Kluyveromyces lactis: one gene and its partners. The protein of the gene in region 2 purifies or fractionates together with the protein of the main gene of each other region. This does not show direct contact. Links are inferred from orthologs where the notes say so. Each region holds a gene or a part of one and is shown on either strand. Other genes may lie near its edges. The genes, in order: NUP159, CRM1, NMD3, PAB1, PWP2 and RPS3.

Region 1 (4,274 bases), on a different chromosome or scaffold from region 2:
GCGCTTGCTGCTCCTTCTCCTCTTCCTCTCCCTCCTCCTTTTCTTCTTCTTCTTCTCCTTCTTCTTCTTCTTCTTCTTCTTCTTCTTCTTCTTCTTCTTCTTCTTCTTCTTCTTCTTCTTCTTCTTCTTCTTCTTCTTGCCCATCTTTGGTCTCCACTTTTGCTTGTTCTTCGTTGCTTTGCTCAGCTTCATCCTCTTCTATGTCACTGTTTGAGTTCAAAACAGTTGAAGAAGGTTTTGAAGAGGCTTCGATGTGTATATCAGATCTATCATTATCATATATTTCCCTGTCCTCTCCGTATAAGGAATCACTTTCATCGGTAGAGGATACAATGTTAGATTCGATATCGTCTTGATCTTCTGAAATGCTCGAATCATTAGCTGGACTAGGCACTTCAGATTGATCGTTTTCGATCGTCGAATCGCTGACTTCTTTCGAATTCAAAGAATCTTGAGTGACGGATGGCAAACTGTGGTTAGCTTCTGATATAGATTCACCGAAACCAGTAAAGTTGAACGACTTAGTGTCTTCTTTTTTAGAATTCAAGTGGCCGAATGGATCAGAAGTCTGAGTTTCGAATGGATTTATGGTCTTTTGGTCTGTAGCAAAGGCAGAAAATGGTGAAGACAATTTCGCAGATGTAGCGAATGAATTCGGTGCAGGGTTGGTAACAGCGCTGTCGCTGCCAAACTGAGAAGTTCCAAAGAGCGATTTTCCAAAAGACGACTCTGATGAAATTTTTGTGTTGGTTCCGAATGGAGAGGTAACATTAGCTCCTTGTATTCCGAAAGATGTGGAGCCAAAACTTGGCGTTCCAAAGACAGATGACGTCTCTGCCTCTTCGGACAAGGGTGAAGTGGTATTAGTTTGAGATTGGGTACCAAATGATGTACTTCCAAATGTTGGTTTGCCAAACGCTGGTTTACTGGGCGCCGATTGGTCAGATACAGGTTGGCCGAATGCTGGTTGTCCGAATGCTGGTTGTCCAGACGTTGGTTGACTAGATGCAGGTTTACCGAAAGTTGGTGGACCGAATGCTGCTTGGCCGAATGCTGATTGTCCAGATGTTGGTTGACTAGATGCCGGTTTCCCAAACGCTGGCTCCCCGAATGCTGGTTGACCGAATGCTGGTTGACCGACTGCTGATTGTCCAGATGTTGGTTGACTAGATGCCGGTTTCCCAAACGCTGGCTCCCCGAATGCTGGTTGACCGAATGCTGATTGTCCAGACGTTGGTTGACTAGATACAGGTTTGCCGAAAGTTGGTAGACCGAATGCTGGTTGACCGAATGCTGATTGGCCAGGTGTTGCTTGGCTAGATGTTACTTGGCCAAATGTTGCTTGGCCAAAGGCAGGTTTTCCAAATGCAGGAGATGAACCAGATGACAGCAAAGGATTTTGAGAGCCCTCAGACTCAGCATTTGTACTATCCGTCATGTTCTTCGGAGTGAACGAAAAACCTTTAGCGAAGGAATTTGTAGTTTCAAAAAATGACGATTGTTCAGGAACCTTTCTTACTTCAGTTATTGTGTTCTTAGTGTCTTGGGGAGAAATTAAAGTAACTTTTTCCTTTTCCATTGAAGAAGAACCACTTTCTATTTTATGAGATAAGATTTCGAAAGACTGTACATACTGAGTTTTGGTTGGTTCTAGCGTGAAACTCGAGTTTTGTAAAGCAGAGTGATGGAATAAAGCCCAACAAAATAGTTCCCCAAGATTGGTGAGGACATATAATATCGGTAGATTGTCAGCAGCCTCTACTCCGGAACAAGGCTCATACACAGTACCACTGGAAAATACATCTAGGGCCATCCCAATGGGTTGTGTATCATTATCTGTTTCAGGGTTGATTGGAAGAATTGCACAAGCAGCATCTTGGTCCGGTTTATACATCACGTTCGGTGTGGCAATCGATAGCTCTGATGCACACGATGATCCTATAACGAATAGATGTGGTAGCTGCTGAGCGAGTTGATACAATGTTTGAGAGTAGTATGAAGGATTTCTTTTGACTGTTGAATAGGGAGGCGCGATATCCATGGAAGGAGTAAAAGATTTAGTATTGACATTGACAAAATATACGGTTAAATCGTACATGATATCTTCTTCCGAGGCATCGACCGGTTCGCCGTACGATACGAGTAAACTGCTTTCTGACAAAGCGTTTATGGACAACGGTTCGTTAGGTTCATCGAGAGATGGCTTTTCAATAGAGGATGTGACGTTAAACTGTTCATCCAGTACAGCTATAGAACCATTTTTGTGTAAAACATAAAGTTGATGTTTCAAAGTGTCAATTGCGATGCAACCTGTGATTGAATGTAACTGTTCGGAAGAATGCTTTTGCGATAAGGATATTTTAAACACGACATTAGCGTTACTCGCAAGAAGTACATTCCCTTGGAAAATTACAGAACAAATGACTTCATTGACACCATTACCGTCCCAGTATTGTTCCCAGGCGAATTGGTCCAATTCGGTAACCCATACTGAACCATCTTCTAGGACCGTAGCCAAACTCTCTGCCACAAAAAAAACGCCCACTACTTTCGCCGTGAACTCTTTCGTATTTAGAGTGATGAAGGACTCATCACGGACAGATTGCAGATCATATACAGACACAGTCTTGGAAGAAGCAACAGCTAGTAATTTTTTCAACGGATGTATGGAAGCATTAGCCAGTTTTGAGAATGGCAAATCCTCATTGAAGCCTGGAACAATTTGTTTAGAGAATAAAAACTTGAATCCCAAGCTCTCAGTAGTTTCAACATTCAACGCATCAACCACAGAGGACGTCATTGATTCTGTATGTGTTCTTTTATCTGTGCCGACAGTAGTAGTTTCAATCCGTTAGTGTATTAATATAAACCTCAGCTGCTTATTAATTTGTAAACCTTGAATTTCAATGGGCATCAGTTGCAATGTTCAGTGCTTGTACAGGTTTGAAGCTTTTTGATGATAGCTTTGAAGTAAACAAAGTTCCAAAAAGAAGGAAATTATCAATCACGTGATCCGGAAATCAGTATGAGGTTAGTGTTCATGTTTTATTGTCTTTACTATGACATGAATGTTTTGAGATATAAAATTTTTTAGATGGTCATTAAAGAATACGTATTTAGTTAGGTAAGTATCTTCGAAAGAAGTAGGCGTTAACATTGTAATTGAGGCCATATCTGTAATGAAAACAAAGCGGATATTGTTGTTCTGAAAAAAAAGCGAACAAAATGAAAGGCAATATATATATATATCGGTATCAAATGGAACGCCAAGAAGAATGATACTTTAGTTGAATGTGAATCATTTCAAAATTGATAACCTAGGCTGGTGATCCATTGGACAAAGCAAAATAACATAAACTTAGAAAAAAGTAACACTTCTTTTTAACACTTGTGTAAAATTACTAAGTATGCATTTAAGCAGCGAACGATAGAGACCAACCCAACTTGTGGACTGGTTCAGCCAACTTCAAAGCGTCGAAAGAAGCACCAATACCTAGAGTGACACCTGGTCTCAATATTTGTTGGTAGGACAAGGCGACGATACCGGAGTCAGCAACCTTAGCCTTAACTTGAGAAACGGCGTCCAAAGCGTACTTGGAAGCGAATTCAATGTTGACATTAGAGCCAGCTTGAGGGTTCAAAGCAGCCTTAGCACCGACTTGCAAGATTGGGGAAACCTTTTGGAAGAAGGAAGCGGTGATCAATTGAGCGTTGTTGACGGACAAACCAACGGAATAAGCACCAGAAGCGTTGTAACCCAAAGCCAAAGCGTAACGGGAGACGGCACCAGCAGAGATGTCATAACCAACTTCAGCACCACCAACGAAACCTTCGTGAGCCAAGGTCAAGTCACCGACGAAGGATGGACCCTTCAACAAATCGAAGAAACCTCTAGCAGCAAACAAAGGTTGAACAAAGTTAACGTTCAACTTAGCAGCCTTAGAGACACCTGGAACACCAGAAGTGATCAATTCAGTCTTCAAGCCTGGAGTCAATTCAGCCAATTCGATCTTGGTGTCCAAAGTGTTGGCGTTGTTCCAACCTTGGGTGAAAGTCAAACCAGTAGACTTGTCAGAGGCCTTAACTTCAACGTTAGCAGCAATTGAGCCATCTTTTGGAGAAGTTTTACCCTTAACAGTGAAAGCAACACCGTTTGGAGCAGTGGTCTTAACGTCAACAGAAGCTGGGGTAGCGTGGAAGAATTCCTTGTTCAACAACCCATTGATGTCCTTGGAAATATCAGAAAAGAATGGAGGAGCCATTGTAAATCTTTG
Region 2 (3,984 bases):
TGAAGTAATAGTTCTTGTAGAAATCGTTAGAGAATTCAGACGGACTAGCGGAATCAACGTTTTGAATAAGGTCTAAAGCAATTTGTAACCCATTTACCTCAACATCTCTGTTGTTGTGTTTGAACGCCCAACATATGGCATCAACGAAAAGTTTGAAAGCCGGTGGTGGTAGTTGAGATATCGCTACGAAACACTTGGAGTTGATGGCCCTCAATAATTTATAAAACTCCACACGATGTTCCGGATATTCCGTGAAATCTTTATTGATCATGTCTAATGTAGCTTCAAAGACACTCTGTAAAATCAAAATGACACCGCTGATCATCATAGGCCCAACTTTGTTGACAAGTGTGGTCATACAACTTAAAATCTCAGCGTCACGGGCATCTGGTACGGTAATGTAGTAATCCCGTAACACAGAGTCAAACAGTGCTGATGCCAAGTCATTTACGATGTAGTCTAAATCCTTTGCACTGGAAATGTATAATTCCATTAATTTTAGAATTTCTTTCTTGATTGTTCTTAAACCTCTTACCTTTGGAGTCTTAGTAGCAATAATCCCATCGCTGGCTACTTGTGTTGAAATACATCTAGACACAGCTGAGCACAATGACATCATTGGTGTGAAGTTACGACTCAACTGCGGAGCAAAGTCATTACCCATAGCGGAACAAACGGCAACGTTTGTCTTTAGAATATTGGTAACGATTTTCACAGTTTCAGGGTCCGACAAAATATCCAGATGAGTAGATGATTGCTGAATTATAGCGTCCCATGCCATGTTAGGGAGTTGCATCAAATCTGCTAGTAATCTTTGTTTTTCTCCTGGGTTTCTTTCATCAGAAATAATTAAACCGCAAGCCTTGTAAAATGTGTGTACTTGCTGAGGTTGAAGATCGGAGGTGTGGTCTTGAATGTTTCTAATTATTGCCTGGATGAAAGGTTCACTTTCGTTTGGCTGTTGAACGACAAAGTGACGTTTACATCTCTGTACAATCTTGATGAAGGTGTCACAGGCCATATCTTGAACACCCTCATGGGTTTCATGCATAAATTCAAATAGTTTTAGAATGACTGTCTTCAAGAACTTCCAATGAGCTTTTAAGAAACGTGGGTACTGACCGACAACGTACATAATGTTCGATGCAACAACAGCCTTGTTGTCCTTACCGCGCTTTTTATCAGTCAAGGCTAAAAGATCTTTAATGATTGTAACGACAAATTTTTTCTCAGTTTCCTCGTCCATAGTACCAGAAATAGAACCAATAGCCCAACACAATGTGTTGATGTTGTGCCATGACCATTCAGAGCCATCAAGTTGCTTTGCCAATTTATTCAACATGATGTCTTCAGTATCAAGAACATCTAAATGCGTCAAGTAAACAAGTACTTCCCTTTCGGACTTATATAACTGAATTGTGTCCGACTCCTTAACAAACTCTCTGACGATTTCACCTTCATCGTTTTCCACAATAAGAACTTCCTCTGGTCTAACCATCGATTCTATTATAACCCATCTTAACTGAGAACAGATGTTATCGTAAATGTGTTTCTTTAACGGGAACCTTTTCAAGAATTCCGGGTGAGGAGCACCATTGCTCCCTGAGAACATATTCGATCCTTGAGATAGTTTCAATAGGACGTTATTCTGATTTTGAGGGATTTGTTGCACCTCTTGGTACAAGGCCGAAACCAAATTATTCCAGTAGTCCAAAGTCGTTTTGAACAATTCTCTTTCGTCAATCTTCGAAAGTTCAATCAAATATTGATGCGCAGTAATTAATAGTTCCCTCAAGGATTCATCATCTTCTAATATTGAACGGTGTCTGGCCAAATAGGTAGTCAAGAACATGGCAAAATCTTGCAAAAATGATTGATCGTTGCCATTAGCAGTAGCATATGTGTTCTTCAAGTCAGCATTCACCGGTATAACGTTAACAGCAATTTGTTGCAAAGCATTTTGGAAAAACATTACAGTTAACGAAGCAATCTTTGGGTCATTTGCTGGAATATCAAGTTGAGAAACTTCAGTCAAACATTTCAAAGTAATAGCTCTGGTGTCAGCAGAGACTAAAAATTTCGTACTCAACAATTGCAAAATATCAGTGTTGTAGATGTAACGGTATGGGATCCAATGCAAGTATCTCAAAAGAGATTGCAAAGTGGCCACCATAAGGGATGGAGAAGATGCGGTTTCCAAAATTTCGTAACATAGATTGAAAATCTGTTCAAATTGTTGATCCATAGATTGTTTTAAATGTAGTGCTTTAGCTTGCGTCATTTGCTCTGCAGAGAAATCAAAGACTTCCTCACTTAATAACTTTAGCATTACCATGTTGTTTTCACATACGTTTACACTAGCTTGGGAACTGAGAACCAACTCCGGGATGAAGTCTGGCCAGTTTTCTGGCCAGTCCTGCTTAAGAATTTGAACCAAGGTTAAATCAGACTTATGAATCAAATTCTTCTGAGTTTGGAAAACCTGATCATCTTGACACATTGAAATAATCATTCCAACGATGAAATTACGAATTCCAAGTCTATGCTCCTGAGGTAACATCTTCCATTTCGTCGTAATTAACTTATCCAAAATGGAAAGCCCAATGAACTTCGTTTGCGGATTATTTGAATACTGCAAGATTTTATCAGCCCTTTGCCAAGCATCTGGATGGTCCTTCAATTTAGTAAGAACCTCTTGTGCCTCCTTTTGAGACGCACCAGAGCCCTTGAAAAAGGTATCCACCACTTGATCTAGGAGCTGGATGTCTAAGTCCCGAGAAAAGTCTAAAACAGCCTCCATATTGATTTAGAAAGAAGAACGTGTGTGTGGATCTCTTTTTACTATTTTCCTATGAGTACAGTGCAGTAGTATCCTTCTTATGAAAAGACCCTGATTAATTAAATGCAATGTCTTGTTCCTTTAGTCTGCTGTATAAATTCCACCAAGATTCGAATTCACAGCTGCAATTTCCGAAATAAATAATAAAGAAAGAAAAAAAAATACACCGGACTATAGTTTTCTTATTTAGCACTGAACAGTAACGGTTGAATCTAGTACGAACAAAAGTGACTCGATAGCACGCTGCCAGATCTAAAATTTATCTAACAAATACATGTTAACATTCTGTTTACTTTAGACCCCAAACCCTATCAATTGAAGGTTTTGGCTTTAGTAAAACTGCTTCTTTCGAAAAATCAATAATGGTAGGGTAACTAAATTCGTGCCTTGTGATGGCTTTAGGCGTGGCGCCCAAACATACACGTGATCTGAAATCTTTTCCTTTAGTTAATCAAAAAAGGTACTCTTCTGTGGGTATACAAGTCTATATATGTAACAAATGATGGAACATAAATTAAGATTAGGTACTCATTGATCTAAGATGATGATGAGGATGAGTCGGTTGTTCCTGGTTTGGTAGATGTGTCTTTGATCAGAGTTCGAGATGTATTTTCTTTTGAGCTACTTTCATCTTCTTCAAACCAGTGATTGTTGCGACGGCCTGGCGACCACATAAACTCTGATTCCTGGGTATTTAAAACAGGTGACTTAAACTCAAGCTCGAAATCTTCAGTGGATCCGTTTGGATAAGAGGATATTGGCACCATTATTTTAGGTAGTTGTATCTTGCCTCTACGGTTCAGTAAAAATTTCCATCTTGCGACAACCATTAGCATGGTATCGTAGTTTCTCTCGTTCCGGATCAGTTTATCAACTTTGTTCATGTCGTATAAATTTTTCACATAATCATCGATCCCAAGACATTCAGTCTTGTTATATGTAGTGTACAATGGAACTGTTTCCATCAGCTGATTGAACTGCACGGCGTTGTATCTCTTATTTCCCAGCTGAATTTCATGGACAAATCTGTTATAATCTAGTCGTCTGGCGTTCACTTTTTGATAGTCTATAGAGGAAAGTTCTTTGCTGAGTCCGAAGTGATCAATTTCAACATCATATGGATCGTTTGGGTTTACTTTCATGTA
Region 3 (3,242 bases), on a different chromosome or scaffold from region 2:
TCTCTAAGCGAGAGTGAAACAGTGTTAGAAGTGATATTTTCAAGGTCTAGTGCAGAGAACAATTCTTTCTCAGCAGAGTCTAACTTGAACACTTCAAGTTTTAATCTTGATAATTCATGGAAAAACGAGGTATCAACAAAAGACTTAAAAGCTGGTGAAAACTTAAGATCGTTAAGCATCTTTCCTGGTACTCAGGTTTTGTTCCATGAAGAAAGAATAGTACTTCTTGGTTTACTTTATTTATCTATGCACTGCAGTTAAGGGTATAGTGTATCAGGGTAGTATTACGAATCGACGTCTTTTTTACAAGAATGAACTAAACTCAGGAAAGCATTGTTACCCTGAAACATGCCAATTATTAATATTCACTAGTGTACACTATACAAGACGGCCATTGTATCATTGATCTAATGCAGATGATGAGTAAATTCAACTAACTTGCCTATCTCGTAAATATATATTGTAATTATTGTCCAAACAAGAAGAGACTAAACCAAATTCTATAGCATTTCTTCACCTTGTTGTTGATCTTCTAAAGTCATCTCATCCAACTCATCTAATAGTTCATCAATATCAATTTGTGGAGCATCTTCATCTTCATCTTCTTCCATCTCGCCTTCGTGCTCTGCTGGTTTGTTGCTCTTATATAGATTGATTGTTTGTCTCATTTCCTCATCTTCCTCCAATTCTTGTAGGAAAATCTCATAATCTCTTTCAGCACGTTCCATTTCTTGTTTCTGTTGTCTTGAAGTGTAGTCTTGAGAAGCTTCGATATCCTTGTGTTCCTTAGCCATTCTCTTCAACTTCCATTTTCTGTTCTTCTTTGTCTTTCTTTGATATAGTTTCTTGATTAGAACGATGTCTGGCACGTAATCAATATTTAAACCATCGAAGAGCTCTGAGTTATAGTTAGAGTTAGCGATAAAGTAACCCATGACACTGTCACCAGGATGAATAATACCACCAAGATGTGTTCTAACGTAATAGACTTGGTCATTGGAGCCTAGATCGGAAGATCTAGCGACAGTAACGTCAGCCAATACCCATTTGTTTCTAACTTGACCAGTAGGTTCAACGTCCAATATGATGAATTCAACTAGTTGGGACACTTCAGCTAATGCACTGAAAGGTTCACGCCAGTACATTGGAGCAGTCAAATCACACGTTTGAAGAGTGGTTGGATCCAGGAACTGGAGAGAGTTAGAAACCTTGGAACAGATGACAAATTGACTGATGTTACCCAAAGACTTGGCAAGCTTCTTAGGTAAAACAACCAAATCATCTCTACAAATTGGAACAATTTCCACGGAAAAAGTGAATTTGTAAGTAGATGAACCGGTATGGATATCTTGAGAGATTAACTCCTCGGATTTTTTACATTTGATAGGTACGACAGCATTTAAGAAATCCAACATCTTAGCAGCATGGTTCTTTTGAGAATAGAAGAAATCTAAACCATCCTTTGCCTCACTAATGGAAATGGTGTCAACATGGGCATTGTGCTTCAAAATCAACTGTTCTAAATACAAGAAAGTTCTCTTATGAGGAACTTTTTGTCTAATTTGGACGTTTGCTCTCCATGTATTAGTGGTATAAGATCTAGCACAGTCCGGACATTGCATGGCAATCACCACATATTCCACTTCAAATGTTTGCTGGATAATAGTGTTAGCCATAGCTTCACCTTGAACGGTCAATTTGACCCGGATACGTCTAGAATGAGGTTCGGTCCAGATAAATGATGCATCCACTAATCGAACTTTGTTTAAGCCTTTCAAACGACGTAAACACAACGCCAAAAGTTCACGAGATTCCAAAGAAGCCCTAATCCATTGGCTTGGTGGTTGCAAGAACCTCTCACAGTTTCTACAGAAAGAAACATTAGCCTCTCTGGGAATACCTTCTGTAATATCGACATTCAACTTAATACAGTCGTAACACATAACTAGCCCTGAGGACCCATCCATAGGCACACCACAACTGCAACATAGCACTGTAGCATGCTGATGTTGCATGTGATTCTGATCTAACGGAGTGTAATTCATCGAGTTCGGTGGATACTTCTGCCCTTGCTGGAATACCTATAATGCAGACATTAATCAGCTTTCAAGCACTATCAGACTGTGCAAGAACAAGATGCGATGAGATGAGCTTTCTCAAAATTTTTCTTAAAAGAGACTGCGAACCCTCAAGAAAAAGAAATTTTGCACGTGACTTTGAACCTTGGATTTATGCATCTATGCATATTAAGCTAGTCTATATACAGGAGAATTACACTTTATAAAGAATGATTAACACGTTCAACGTTTGGATTTCTTTCCAGCAAATAGCAAGCCAAATTGTTTCTTGGAATGTTTTTGTACTTTAGGTTCCATATCTTCTTCATCCGAGGAAGAGTCGGAATGCGATGAAGTCGATTTGGTATAATATTGGTTTTTACTGTGGTCTTTCGAAACATTTGTGCCTCTCGGAAGCTCGTTACGTATCTTCTGTCTTTCCTGATTCCTTATCTTATGTTTTAACGAAACCATAGCCTGGGAGTCGTCTTTCCTCACTCTGTGTATACTGTTTCTCTGTTGCACGTCCTTGGTAGCTCTTTTCTTTTTGGCTAAAGAGCTGACCTTCTTATCACTTTTGATGAACTCTCCAATGGTATGTATATCGGTATCATCAGTACTTTGCGCGTTCTCAAATGATAAACCGCTTCCTATTTGAATGACAGGCAACTGGAAAAATTCCTTCTTTGATTCGTTGCTATCCTCCTTTGCTAGATCATTAGATGACGTCTTAGAATCCTCTATCCATCCGAGCACCTTAGCAGTGGAACTGCTAAACCCATTTTGAAATTTAGCAAGTAGTGCTTGCTTTTCTTTTATCTCCTGAGCTCTTGACATGGCTTGGTGAGTCTGTATTACTTGTTAGATTGTAAGAGTATACCTTTATGGCGGCCGATGCATCTCATCTGGTTCGATCTCATCGCTTCAAAGAATAAGTTACCATTTTTTTTTCAGTGATTACTCTCTAAGGAAGAATCAGAATTCACGTGACTGATTTTTAAATGGAATATGTGGATAGGTCTATCAACTATGTGAGTTTATGTACGTCTATGAGTCTTTTCTTTGGATTCATTCTTTCTCTTTTGGAGTTTCCTTCTTTCACCAAAACCTTCTTTATCCATGGCCATGAGACTTTCTCTTTTTGCTGCTGTAACCTTAGTTAACGACTTCCTAATCACGGCTGTA
Region 4 (3,522 bases), on a different chromosome or scaffold from region 2:
TCTTCATTAAAAAGACTACTAATGTCCTCCCATTAGAGCTTTAGTATTATATAAAACGGGTAGAGTAACAATAATAGTTAGATAGAAAAAATCAGTAAGAAAAAATTTGAAGAGAAAAATGGGGCATACCTCCGGATTGAATTAGCGGTATGGAGAAAGGGTAGAGTGATGTGATGGATTGTGGTAATATGGTATATGTGGAGCGTGGTAATTTTTTTTATTGGTAAAGATTAAAAGCACAACATTTTTGGCAACAATGGAAAGCCTGTGATGAACAAAAAAAAAAAAAGCGAGAGAAAAAGAAGAGTGGCAGAAAGTAGTTTATTTCGACTAGTTTAGGTCTATAACAATGCGTAAGCTAATTAGCACCACCCAGTTCCAATGCGTGAAGCTGAGACTATTCATATAGTTAGCTGTTCGTTTTTTTTTTTAATTTTTCTTTTTCTTCGGGGGAAAGATATAGAAAGGACAAGATGAAGATCAAGGTCAAAAAATCAAGTTTAAGCTTGAGCTTCTTGTTCCTTCTTGAAGTTTTCGTAAGCAGCTAAGGCTTCTTGGAATTGCTGTTCAAATTGTTCGTCGTTGTCCAACAATTGGATGACTTGCTGTGGTGGTAGATCCAAGATCATACCGGTGATCTTACCAGCGGCGTTTTCGTCGTCAATCTTGGCACTGACCTTCTTGTACAATTGTTCACCCAAGGCTTGTCTTTGCTTTTGTTGTTGGATGTAGTGTTGTTGTTGGTGTCTTGGGAATTGGTTTTGAGGTGGCATACCTTGGTACATTGGACCGTTTGGTCTACCAGCAAATTGTTGTGGTGGTGGGACCATACCGTTCTTTGGAATACCGGCACCCATTGGGCCGTTCATACCTGGGTTTGGACCTGGGAAACCTCTTGGGGCCATAACACCATAGAACATTTGTGGCATGTATTGGCCTGGCATACCAGCAGCAGCGGCAGCAGCTTGTTGTTGTTGCTGTTGTTGGAATCTGATTTGGTTTCTGGCTTGAATTTGTTGAGCCAATTGGGATCTTCTGACATCCTTTCTTTGAGCAATGGCAACGTACAATGGCTTACCGGCAACAATTTGTTGGTTCTTTTCGGTCATAGCCTTGGTAGCTTCTTCTGGAGAAGAGAAACAAACGAAACCGAAACCCTTAGAGTTACCCTCTTGGTCTCTCATGACTCTAGCAGAGGTGATGGTACCGTATGGGGCGAATTCTTCCTTCAATTTTTCGTCATCGATGGAATCGTCCAAGTTCTTGATGAACAAGTTAACACCTTGGAACTTAGCCAATTTTTCCAAACGGTATTGTTCGTATTGTTTCTTCAATTCTTCAGCACGTTCGTACTTCTTTTGAGCTCTGCCAACGTACAAAGCTTGAGACTTGAATTCCTTACCGTTCAACTCTTCAACGGCCTTGGCAGCGGCGTTGTGGTCAACAAAGTTAACGAAACCGAAACCCTTTGGCTTACCCTCAGCATCCTTTTCCAAAGCAGCAGAGACAATTTCACCGTATTGGGAGAACAACTGTTCGAACTCTTCGTCAGTGGTTTCAACGTCAATGTTCTTGACGTAAATGTTGGTGAAGTTAGCCTTGGCTTCTTCCAACTTGGAGATACGGTCCTTCTTTGGAACGTGCATGGCAACGTAAACTTCCAAACCGTTCATCAACATACCGTTGACGGCTTCAATAGCATCCTTAGCATCGGATTCTTCCTTGAAATGAACGAAACCGAAGCCTCTAGAGTTTCCATTCTCATCTAAAGCAACTTTACAAGACAAGACTTCACCGAAAGTGGAGAAAGTTTCATGCAAAGCCTTGTTGTCAATGGCTGGGTGCAAGTTCTTGATGAAAATGTTACCAGAACCCTTCTTTCTGATAGCTGGGTCACGTTCGGACCACATAATTCTACATGGTCTACCGTTGATTTCAGCATAGTTCAATTCTTGAATAGCTTTCTTACCAGCTTCGTAATCAGTATAGTTAACGTAAGCGTAACCTAACGAAGCCTTGGTGACGGCATCACGACAAACACGGATCGAGGAAATTGGACCCAATGGTGAAAACACATCGTACAACAATGCTTCAGTAATGTTTGGATCCAATTCACCAACGTACAATGAAGCGTTGTTGTTTTCAACCTTAGAAACAGAAGAAGCTTCGCTTTCAGAAGCAGAAGTGGATGGAGCACTGGCAGATTGAGCTGGTTGCTGATCATCGTTGATCTGCAAGTTTTCCAATTGCTCAGCAGTTTTTTCAGTAATATCAGACATTATGAGATGAGATGAGATGAGATAAATTTAACCGAAAAAGATGGCGGTTGGTTGGTTTTGTAATGTGTTTTTAAAATATATGTTTTTTTATGGTTTTTTAATGTGTATTTTAGTGTATTGTTTTGTTTAATACCCACACAGTTGCGAACCTTTGATGAAACTATTAAGTTTTGATTTAACGATGGATGGAAATGAAAAACCCTTAGTTAACTTGAATTCAAAAAGACTTCTAACTGGAATGTTTTGACTAATATTAAAAAGATATAAACCACGCTTATTCTTTTCTTTTACCAAAAACAATTAAAATACAGGATACAGATGATACCTTTAGAGAGTTTGCTGACTTTGACCGTGGTCTTTTTAAACAAACAAATTGCACAAAATAAAATGTTACAATAACTGAACCAGAAAGGTAATACAAATAAGTAACAAACGAAACAGTATAAACTAACCAAGATAACTAAAAACTTATAACAAATTAAATAAATGAAACAACATCACAAGAACTTATTTAAAATCGTTATATAATTCATCCATCTCTGTGAGAACAGTCCTTAATTGTTGTGATGAGTTAGCCAAAAAGTGAAAATTTTCATTGAAAAATTTAAAGAGTTGAAAAAGAGTTTAAAGCTTTTCCACAAAAGGAAAGGTAGGTACGTGCGAAATGATCTGAGGCATCACCACAACAAACCAGGTATTTTACTAGCAGCCGGCTGTTTCTGGTGCGCCCTTGTGCCTCATGTCATTTATGAAGGTAATAATAACTAATAGCAATATGTTGTTGATTAGATATCTTTTTTTTTTTCGTAAATTGATAGGCGTATATATCTCTATGTTTTGTTACATTTGACTAATTAATGTTCAGAGGCTTTGATTTTGTCGTACATCGCCAGGAGTTTGGAAGATGGGACATCTCTTGGCCAGTAATATGCAGTGAAAGACCATAAATGTCTTTTATATTTTTCTGGAGAGGTCTTAGACGAGTCCTTCTTGTGCGATTCGATGTAGTCACCAACACGTTTCAATTCCTTCTTCAATAGGTTAGCCCATTGCTTACGTTCAAGACCGTCTCCTCCAGATCTTAGACGTTTGAGTGAGCTACGGACGTTTGTCATCGTTTTCTTACACTCTTCTTCGTCCATACTGTCGTATTCTTTGTCAGGAAGACGGATATCGGCTTTTGGTGCCAACGGTATGTCTTTACCTTTCCTCTGCTGTTTTTTCGATCCGACGACAGGCGTAC
Region 5 (3,979 bases), on a different chromosome or scaffold from region 2:
TGATTTTATATATCTATCATGCTAGGAATTATATATATTCTCTTTTTAGTGAAGTATCCCGATTTCATAGTAGGATTTCGTCGTCAGAATCTTCGTCATTAACAGGAAGATTAATAGTTTTTTCCTCGAATCCAACCCATTCACCTCCATCTAAATCGTCGTCCATGTTGATATCCTCTTTGTCTTCAGATTCGTTGTCTGAATCATTGCCCAGTAGATTCATATCCTCGTCAACAGCGTTAGTTGAAGAACCATCGGTATTTGTCAAAAAGTCTAATGTGTACTTATTTCTCTTGTATGTTTGGACGACGTCATTTGCCATTCTACCAATAAATCTTTGGACAGCTCTCAATGCGCTAGAGAATTGATGCTTATTAGTAGAAATGTATTTGCCGTGGGCTGTAAGTACAGATTTGATCCAAAGGAGATTGAACTCCAAATGCTGTGATTCTAAAGCGTACTCACCAATGAATTTTAGAATTCTTGATACGTAAACCACTGGCAACTCGTGAGCTATCAATGGAATATCCTTTATTGGAATATTCTCATATACTCTGTGGATTAGATAGCCCTCATTTAGACGGAAAGCCATTAGTATGGCATTGAGATATTCCTTGTCATCTAAGCTTTGGATAACATTCTGTGGAGTCACATCGACGTCAAGATCGAAAGGATCAAAAAGAATAGTATTATCAACGGAATATACAAGTAAACCTTCTGTTGAACCGGCGGCAAATGCATTAGCAGTAGGAGAGAATCTTATAGACGTCACTCTGATCGCCGGTCTGACTCTTCTTGTCGATAAGTCACCTCCTCTATTCGAACCAGGAAGGCTGTTATCTACGCGATCTTCCAAGTCTGAATTTTCTGCATCTTGATCAATGAGATCCAAAGATCCTGCTTCTGTCATTCTACTTGAGTTTAAAAACTCCATGGTGCCGTTTAACATCATGTTTTTGGATACGGTAAATCTTCTTAGCAGTACTTCGTTTGGAATGTCATAAAGACATATGGAATTATTGTTACCGGCTGCAACCAAAGAGAGACCATCGAAACTGTAATGAATGGTGGTAAAATATTTAGATCTTGCTGAACTTTCTGATGTGAACCGATCTTCCAAATGTCTACCCGAGATTATATCCCTTTTGCCGTCAATATTTCCCACCTGTTTGCCCTCAGCAACATCAAAGAATAATATTTGCCCCGCTAGAGTACTTGCAGCTATTTGTTGACCATCCGGTTTCATAGAAATAGATAAAACATCAGAAAATACTTCAAAAGGCTCTACCTGTTGACTTCTACCGAAGAGAGACCACACTCTAATTGTTTTATCCCATGAAGCGGATGCCAAAACTCCATTCTCATTACTGAAAGATAAACAGGAGATAGGACCTTCATGGCCAGATAGTGTATCCACTAACTGACCAGTCTGTACTGACCAAACAAAAATGTCAAAGCTATCTTCCGACCCGGCACATACAACTTCTCCGCTTGGATCAACTGCTAATGAGTTGAACTGTATTCTTTCGGTCGCAGTGAACGTTCTGAAATTACGATATCTGATCAAGTCCCATGCTTTCACGGTACCATCCAAAGAAGCTGAAAACAAAACTTGACCTTTTTTAGCAAATTCTACTGCACTTACACCACCTGCATGTTCATCAAAAGTTGCCAAACAGAAACCTGACGCGACATCCCAAATCTTGATCTTACCTTCGTGACTTGCTGTGACAATCTTCGATCCATCTGGGGAGTAACACAATCCATTTAACGTATCGAAATGACCTTGTTGTTTTAGAATATATGACTCTGATTGCCATTCGTACACTATCAATTGCCCAAGTTTACTAGAACCGAAAGCCAACCATTCACCAGAACTGTTGATGGCAACCGTATTAACTGCATTTTGACCCATTGAAAGTTGTTGAATCATGATGAATTCTGGCAGTTCATAGAGTCGGAATTCACCGTTTGAGAAACCGACTGTTAATATGTTGGATGCAGCATGGAATGCAGAACACTTCACCTTTGCTCTGTTTGCATGGAAAAAATTCTTCTTTGTGATTCTCCAACTATATTTTGACAAATCTACATCTTCCTCATCTTCATCATTGTCTTCCCCTTCACCAGGCTTTTTGGTGTATTCCCATTGGAATAAGGCACCATCTTTACTGACCGTGTATATCTTTTCCTGGTCATCGCTGAAATATGCTCCGATAACGTTATCTCTATGTCCTGCAAAAGTCGTCGATGCAAGATTTTTCTCCTCCGAGTTAACTGACCATATCCTTGCCGTTAGGTCCTTGGATGTGGATATAATAAATCTTGAATCTTTTGACCATGTCAAGGAAGTTATATCAGAAAAGTGGCCGGCATGGATTCTATAACGAACAAAAGGTGCAAACTGTCTATCCTCAGTGGTCTCGGGTGTCCTCCATATTTGTAAGAATCTCCCACAAGCCAGCGCAAATAACTTGCCATCAGGTGAAAACTTCAAGTCATAAACCTTTTCTTTGAAGTTGAAATGATGCAATACGTTTCTTGTCTTAAAGTTCGCCAAGATACCACGACCATCGACATCAATGGAAAGAAGTAACGTACCTTGCTTGTTGATATCTACAACGGCAACGTTCTTCCTATGTTCATATTCGAAGGTAAAAGCAGTATTGTTGATCAAATCAAATACCGACACCCTATTACCTACCGGTGAAAGTAACTTGGAACCATCTTGAGAGAACAAGACGTTACCTTGCCTATAAACAGTTCCCAAAAGATTGGAAAACTTAAAATCAGACTTCATCCGTAACTAAACCCTTATAAAGCTCGTCTGACCTGATTCCTTCCAACTAATTGAAATTGAACAACTGATTATAATGCAAAGTCCTTACAAGTGACTGATAATCCGTCTGCACTTCCTGCTTGAACTCATCTCATCTCATCTCATCTCATCGCTCAATTTTTTCTCTTAAATTTTTCGAAATCCTGTATGCTGAATGAAAAAGAAAGGAAAACATATACAGCTTTAGCACGGAAGTAAAGAAAGAGAGAACAGAAACATGTCGGTTTTTGGGTGGATTGTCGTTTATGTCAGCACTTGAAACTTAGTATGAGTACTTCATTATAGCTGTTTTCATACTTTTACCAATGACCTTTTTATTTCATTTATTTTTGTACAATGTTCCTTTTATAGTGCAGATCCTTGCATTCTGAAATACGTCCGACGGGGTTTAACCATGGATATTTCTATCTTCTTGCTATCTTTCATTTTCCGGACAATCGTAAACAAACTTTTCATGAAATTCTAATATGTAAGATCAAACCATTCAGCAGAAGATTGATGAGATGAGCTGTATTAGGACTTTAATGATACATTAAAAATGTATTCCAGTGTCAATGATATAGTGAAGCCTATTTGAAAGCGGTAATAGGGGCACTAAGACGAAAAGGTAACAATGAGTGGACAGAAACGGCATGAAGTCACAGGCAAGTTATCCAATAGAGTGATGAACATGAAGTTCATGAAGCATGCGGAACAAGCAGACAAAGTTAAACAGACCGAGGAGACAATAAAGAAATTGGTGGACTCGTCAGAATGGAGGATAGGTGACAATGTAAAACTCTTGACAAAACTTGCTAATAAATCAAAAGTGGTACAGAACGTAGGTTTCTCTGCTATCAAGTCACTGAATGATGAGGATTCGAAGATCGATACAAACGATCTCAGCACAAGCACACTACGGACTAGTGTAAATGCAGGAAGAAGAATATTCGGAAATAAACTCGGACGAGCTACGCCCGGTTCAGATGGGAGTTCTAATGATAAGAAAAGAAGTTTTGAAGAAAAGGACGAGGACGATGTGTCGACGACAGATTTAGAAAAGCTATGGGAAGCCGAAACACAGACTAAGAAACAGAAGAAATCCAATGGTAATGGTAATACTGAGAGGAATAAGAAGAAGTCAAAAAGGAATAGAAATTA
Region 6 (2,640 bases), on a different chromosome or scaffold from region 2:
GAAGATCCCCATCAAAAAAGTAGTTGATCCAATGATCAATGCTGTACCTACAGCACAAAAATCCTTATAAGTTAGGCCCATATTTACTTTCAGTCAATGTGTTTAGTGAGCGATACCTACGTTCTCTTAAAAATGGAACGTATAGACCCTACGTGTGGTATTAAATGGTTAACAATTCATCTATAATTGAGCCATTGGTTTTTTCAGTACGCACTATATATTCTCTTTTTTTTTAATAATTTACATGATTTTTGCCCACCGAATTTTTTTGATTAGTATGAAAGATAAAGGAACTGAAAGGCGGAAAGGCATTATCGGAAGGCGCTATCGATAAATCATTTTAAAAATCCATTGATAAAAGCAGGACGTTTTAATCGATGTCATCTGGGCATAGATTACTTATTTTTAAAAGAATTGATGAGTTTCTTAATATTTATACATATAAGAACGGTATTTAATAGACTAATTAATAATATAGAATCAAACAGATATCAATTGATTTAAGCAGATTCAGCAGCTTCAACTGGTTCAGTTGGTCTGTAATCCTTGACAGAAGGTTCCAAAACTGGTTCTTCTTCCTTTGGTTCGATGATGGTAACAGCATCTGGCAAAGCCTTTGGACCAGAGGTGTTTCTAGATGGGTCCTTCATGATCTTAACCTTAATACCCAAAACACCTTGTCTCAACAAAACGTGTCTGGTAGCGGTTTCAATGAAGTCGTTGACTGGTTGACCGGAGTGGATCAAGAAACCGTCAGCGAACTTCATGGACTTGGCTCTAGCAGCTCTCAACTTACCGGAGATGACAACTTCACAACCCTTGGCACCAGATTCCATAACGTATCTGACAACACCGTAAGCAGCTCTTCTGATGGCCAAACCGTTCAACAATTTGAACTTCATGGATTCAGCTTGAGCAACAGCGGACAAACCACGGTCATGGACTCTTTCAGCGTATAAAGCAATGGTACCACGCTTGTACTTGAATCTCTTTTCAATCAACAAGGTCAATTCGTTGATTCTTCTACCATTTTCACCAACAACATCTTGAACCTTAGTAGCTCTGATGATAATTTCGGTCTTGGTTGGAGTAACTCTGACTTCGACACCAGAGTAACCTTCTTCAGCCAATTCTCTGGTGAAGAATTCGTTCAATTCGGCGTAGAAAACACCGTCAGCGACAAGCTTTCTCTTCTTGGAGATAATGGCAACCATTTTTACTTTATTTGTTCGTCGGGGAGCTCGAAATTATAGGTGATAATAAAACTAACTAAAGTAAGTATCTTGTATGTCCAATGGCACTTATGTTCATAATGAACCAGATTGTAAAGCGATGATGAGAACAATATTCGTCAAACCGTCCGAATCGCTGCGATTGGTATGGTGAAAATGAAAAAATCATCTGAAAGACAGTATTTACTCACCAACACATGTGGTGTATGGGTTAATGCTTCAGATAAATGAACATTTTCAATGAGATAAGTACCCAAAATGGCAATGCAGAAAAAATTGGAAAAAAAACTAAAACAAAAATGTCCGGGTGAGCAGTCCCAGGAACATATATTTTCAAGTCACCTGGTAAGCGTAGAAAACTCGCCGTAAACAGAAAACTTCAAGACCGTTCCTCCATTTCCTAATGGGGAAGTTCCTAAATAGGATTTATACGCGAGATGTTCCACCCCCTGCATTGGTTTATGTGAATACTCGAGAGCCTTGTGGTAACTCGCATCACTTAGGAAACAGACAACACAATTGTTTCAACGAATAATAAAATGGGAAATAACATAGGAATTCCAGACAATGTTGCAATCACGGCGTGTCACAGCTGCATACTTGTTATTCCGAAAAGAAAGTACGTCAATATTGACCGGGTTTTAGCAGGTATATGACCCAATATTGCTTCGGGTAATTACAGGATGCCGTTTCGTTTTCTCTCTCTCTCTCTGTTTCTCACAATTTGAACGAAAAAAAAGAATAATATTGGGAGCCAGTACACCTGCAGAGGGTACAGCGAGCACACTCGAATATACGGAATGTACCAGAAATGCCTCAACCTACCTACCCACTACAATCCATTATAACAACTACCTTTTCATGTTCCTAGTAAGTTTTCCCTAAGGCCAAAAAAAAAAAAAGAAAATGAAAATCAGCTACTTGCTCACTCGAAACAAGCACATCGATTGGTGCAACTTGTGTGAATAAAAAGAAAGAACCATGTAGGTAGGCAGCTCATTTTGTAAATGGTTTTCTGAGATGTTCGGACTCCTGCACAGCCTTTATAATGGGCCAATCAATTCCACTTTGTAACTTACTAGTTCACTCGTAGATCCTTTTACTGGTTGCCTATACAGTTTATTCCGTCTACCGCACAAAGCACAAAACTGCGCTATTCACTCCATTTCCTAGAGCCAGTACCTAAGAAATCGGTAAGACGACCATTTCTGATTGTTTTCAATTGACAGTCTACACTGTTTGGCCTAGTCTGGCGTCCGAAACAGCAGCAACGTTCGTAGTGTGCGATTATCTGAATGAGGAAATAACAGACCCCACTGGCCCCACTTATACCAGTGGCCACTTCTGACCGTCAAAAATGCAGCCGAGCTTAACCAGTTATGCTGTTTCCAATATCGACTGCATTAGC

Evidence for each region.
Region 1: the proteins of CRM1 (region 2) and NUP159 purify together in Saccharomyces cerevisiae (affinity purification with mass spectrometry; 4 studies listed by BioGRID, with this or other methods). This does not show direct contact. The link is inferred for Kluyveromyces lactis from reciprocal best matches to the Saccharomyces cerevisiae genes CRM1 and NUP159.
Region 3: the proteins of CRM1 (region 2) and NMD3 purify together in Saccharomyces cerevisiae (affinity purification with western blotting; 3 studies listed by BioGRID, with this or other methods). This does not show direct contact. The link is inferred for Kluyveromyces lactis from reciprocal best matches to the Saccharomyces cerevisiae genes CRM1 and NMD3.
Region 4: the proteins of CRM1 (region 2) and PAB1 purify together in Saccharomyces cerevisiae (affinity purification with mass spectrometry; 3 studies listed by BioGRID, with this or other methods). This does not show direct contact. The link is inferred for Kluyveromyces lactis from reciprocal best matches to the Saccharomyces cerevisiae genes CRM1 and PAB1.
Region 5: the proteins of CRM1 (region 2) and PWP2 purify together in Saccharomyces cerevisiae (affinity purification with mass spectrometry; 3 studies listed by BioGRID, with this or other methods). This does not show direct contact. The link is inferred for Kluyveromyces lactis from reciprocal best matches to the Saccharomyces cerevisiae genes CRM1 and PWP2.
Region 6: the proteins of CRM1 (region 2) and RPS3 purify together in Saccharomyces cerevisiae (affinity purification with mass spectrometry; 4 studies listed by BioGRID, with this or other methods). This does not show direct contact. The link is inferred for Kluyveromyces lactis from reciprocal best matches to the Saccharomyces cerevisiae genes CRM1 and RPS3.

What each region holds. Positions count from the first base shown.
Region 1 is NC_006042.1:330,428-334,701, forward strand, and holds the start of NUP159 (FG-nucleoporin NUP159), read right to left. Parts: upstream 2,801-4,274; coding exon 1-2,800. Other genes in the region: porin POR1, read right to left, coding at 3,414-4,262. UniProt on the Saccharomyces cerevisiae protein: Functions as a component of the nuclear pore complex (NPC).
Region 2 is NC_006041.1:1,429,192-1,433,175, forward strand, and holds the start of CRM1 (exportin CRM1), read right to left. Parts: upstream 2,801-3,984; coding exon 1-2,800. Other genes in the region: calcium channel protein CCH1, read right to left, coding at 3,376-3,984. UniProt on the Saccharomyces cerevisiae protein: Receptor for the leucine-rich nuclear export signal (NES).
Region 3 is NC_006037.1:459,073-462,314, forward strand, and holds NMD3 (ribosome-binding protein NMD3), read right to left. Parts: upstream 2,046-3,242; coding exon 501-2,045; downstream 1-500. Other genes in the region: ATG7 (Atg7p), read right to left, coding at 1-179; NOP19 (Nop19p), read right to left, coding at 2,301-2,894; ATP-dependent RNA helicase DBP8, read right to left, coding at 3,095-3,242. UniProt on the Saccharomyces cerevisiae protein: Acts as an adapter for the XPO1/CRM1-mediated export of the 60S ribosomal subunit. Unlikely to play a significant role in nonsense-mediated mRNA decay (NMD).
Region 4 is NC_006039.1:1,552,079-1,555,600, reverse strand, and holds PAB1 (polyadenylate-binding protein), read right to left. Parts: upstream 2,280-3,522; coding exon 501-2,279; downstream 1-500. Other genes in the region: chromatin-remodeling ATPase CHD1, read right to left, coding at 3,134-3,522. UniProt on the Saccharomyces cerevisiae protein: Binds the poly(A) tail of mRNA. Appears to be an important mediator of the multiple roles of the poly(A) tail in mRNA biogenesis, stability and translation.
Region 5 is NC_006039.1:783,357-787,335, reverse strand, and holds PWP2 (snoRNA-binding rRNA-processing protein PWP2), read right to left. Parts: upstream 2,801-3,979; coding exon 65-2,800; downstream 1-64. Other genes in the region: MPP6 (Mpp6p), read left to right, coding at 3,453-3,979. UniProt on the Saccharomyces cerevisiae protein: Required for bud-site selection and cell separation. Also involved in nucleolar processing of pre-18S ribosomal RNA.
Region 6 is NC_006040.1:705,125-707,764, forward strand, and holds RPS3 (40S ribosomal protein uS3), read right to left. Parts: upstream 1,215-2,640; coding exon 501-1,214; downstream 1-500. Other genes in the region: SHR3 (Shr3p), read right to left, coding at 1-81. UniProt on the Saccharomyces cerevisiae protein: Component of the ribosome, a large ribonucleoprotein complex responsible for the synthesis of proteins in the cell.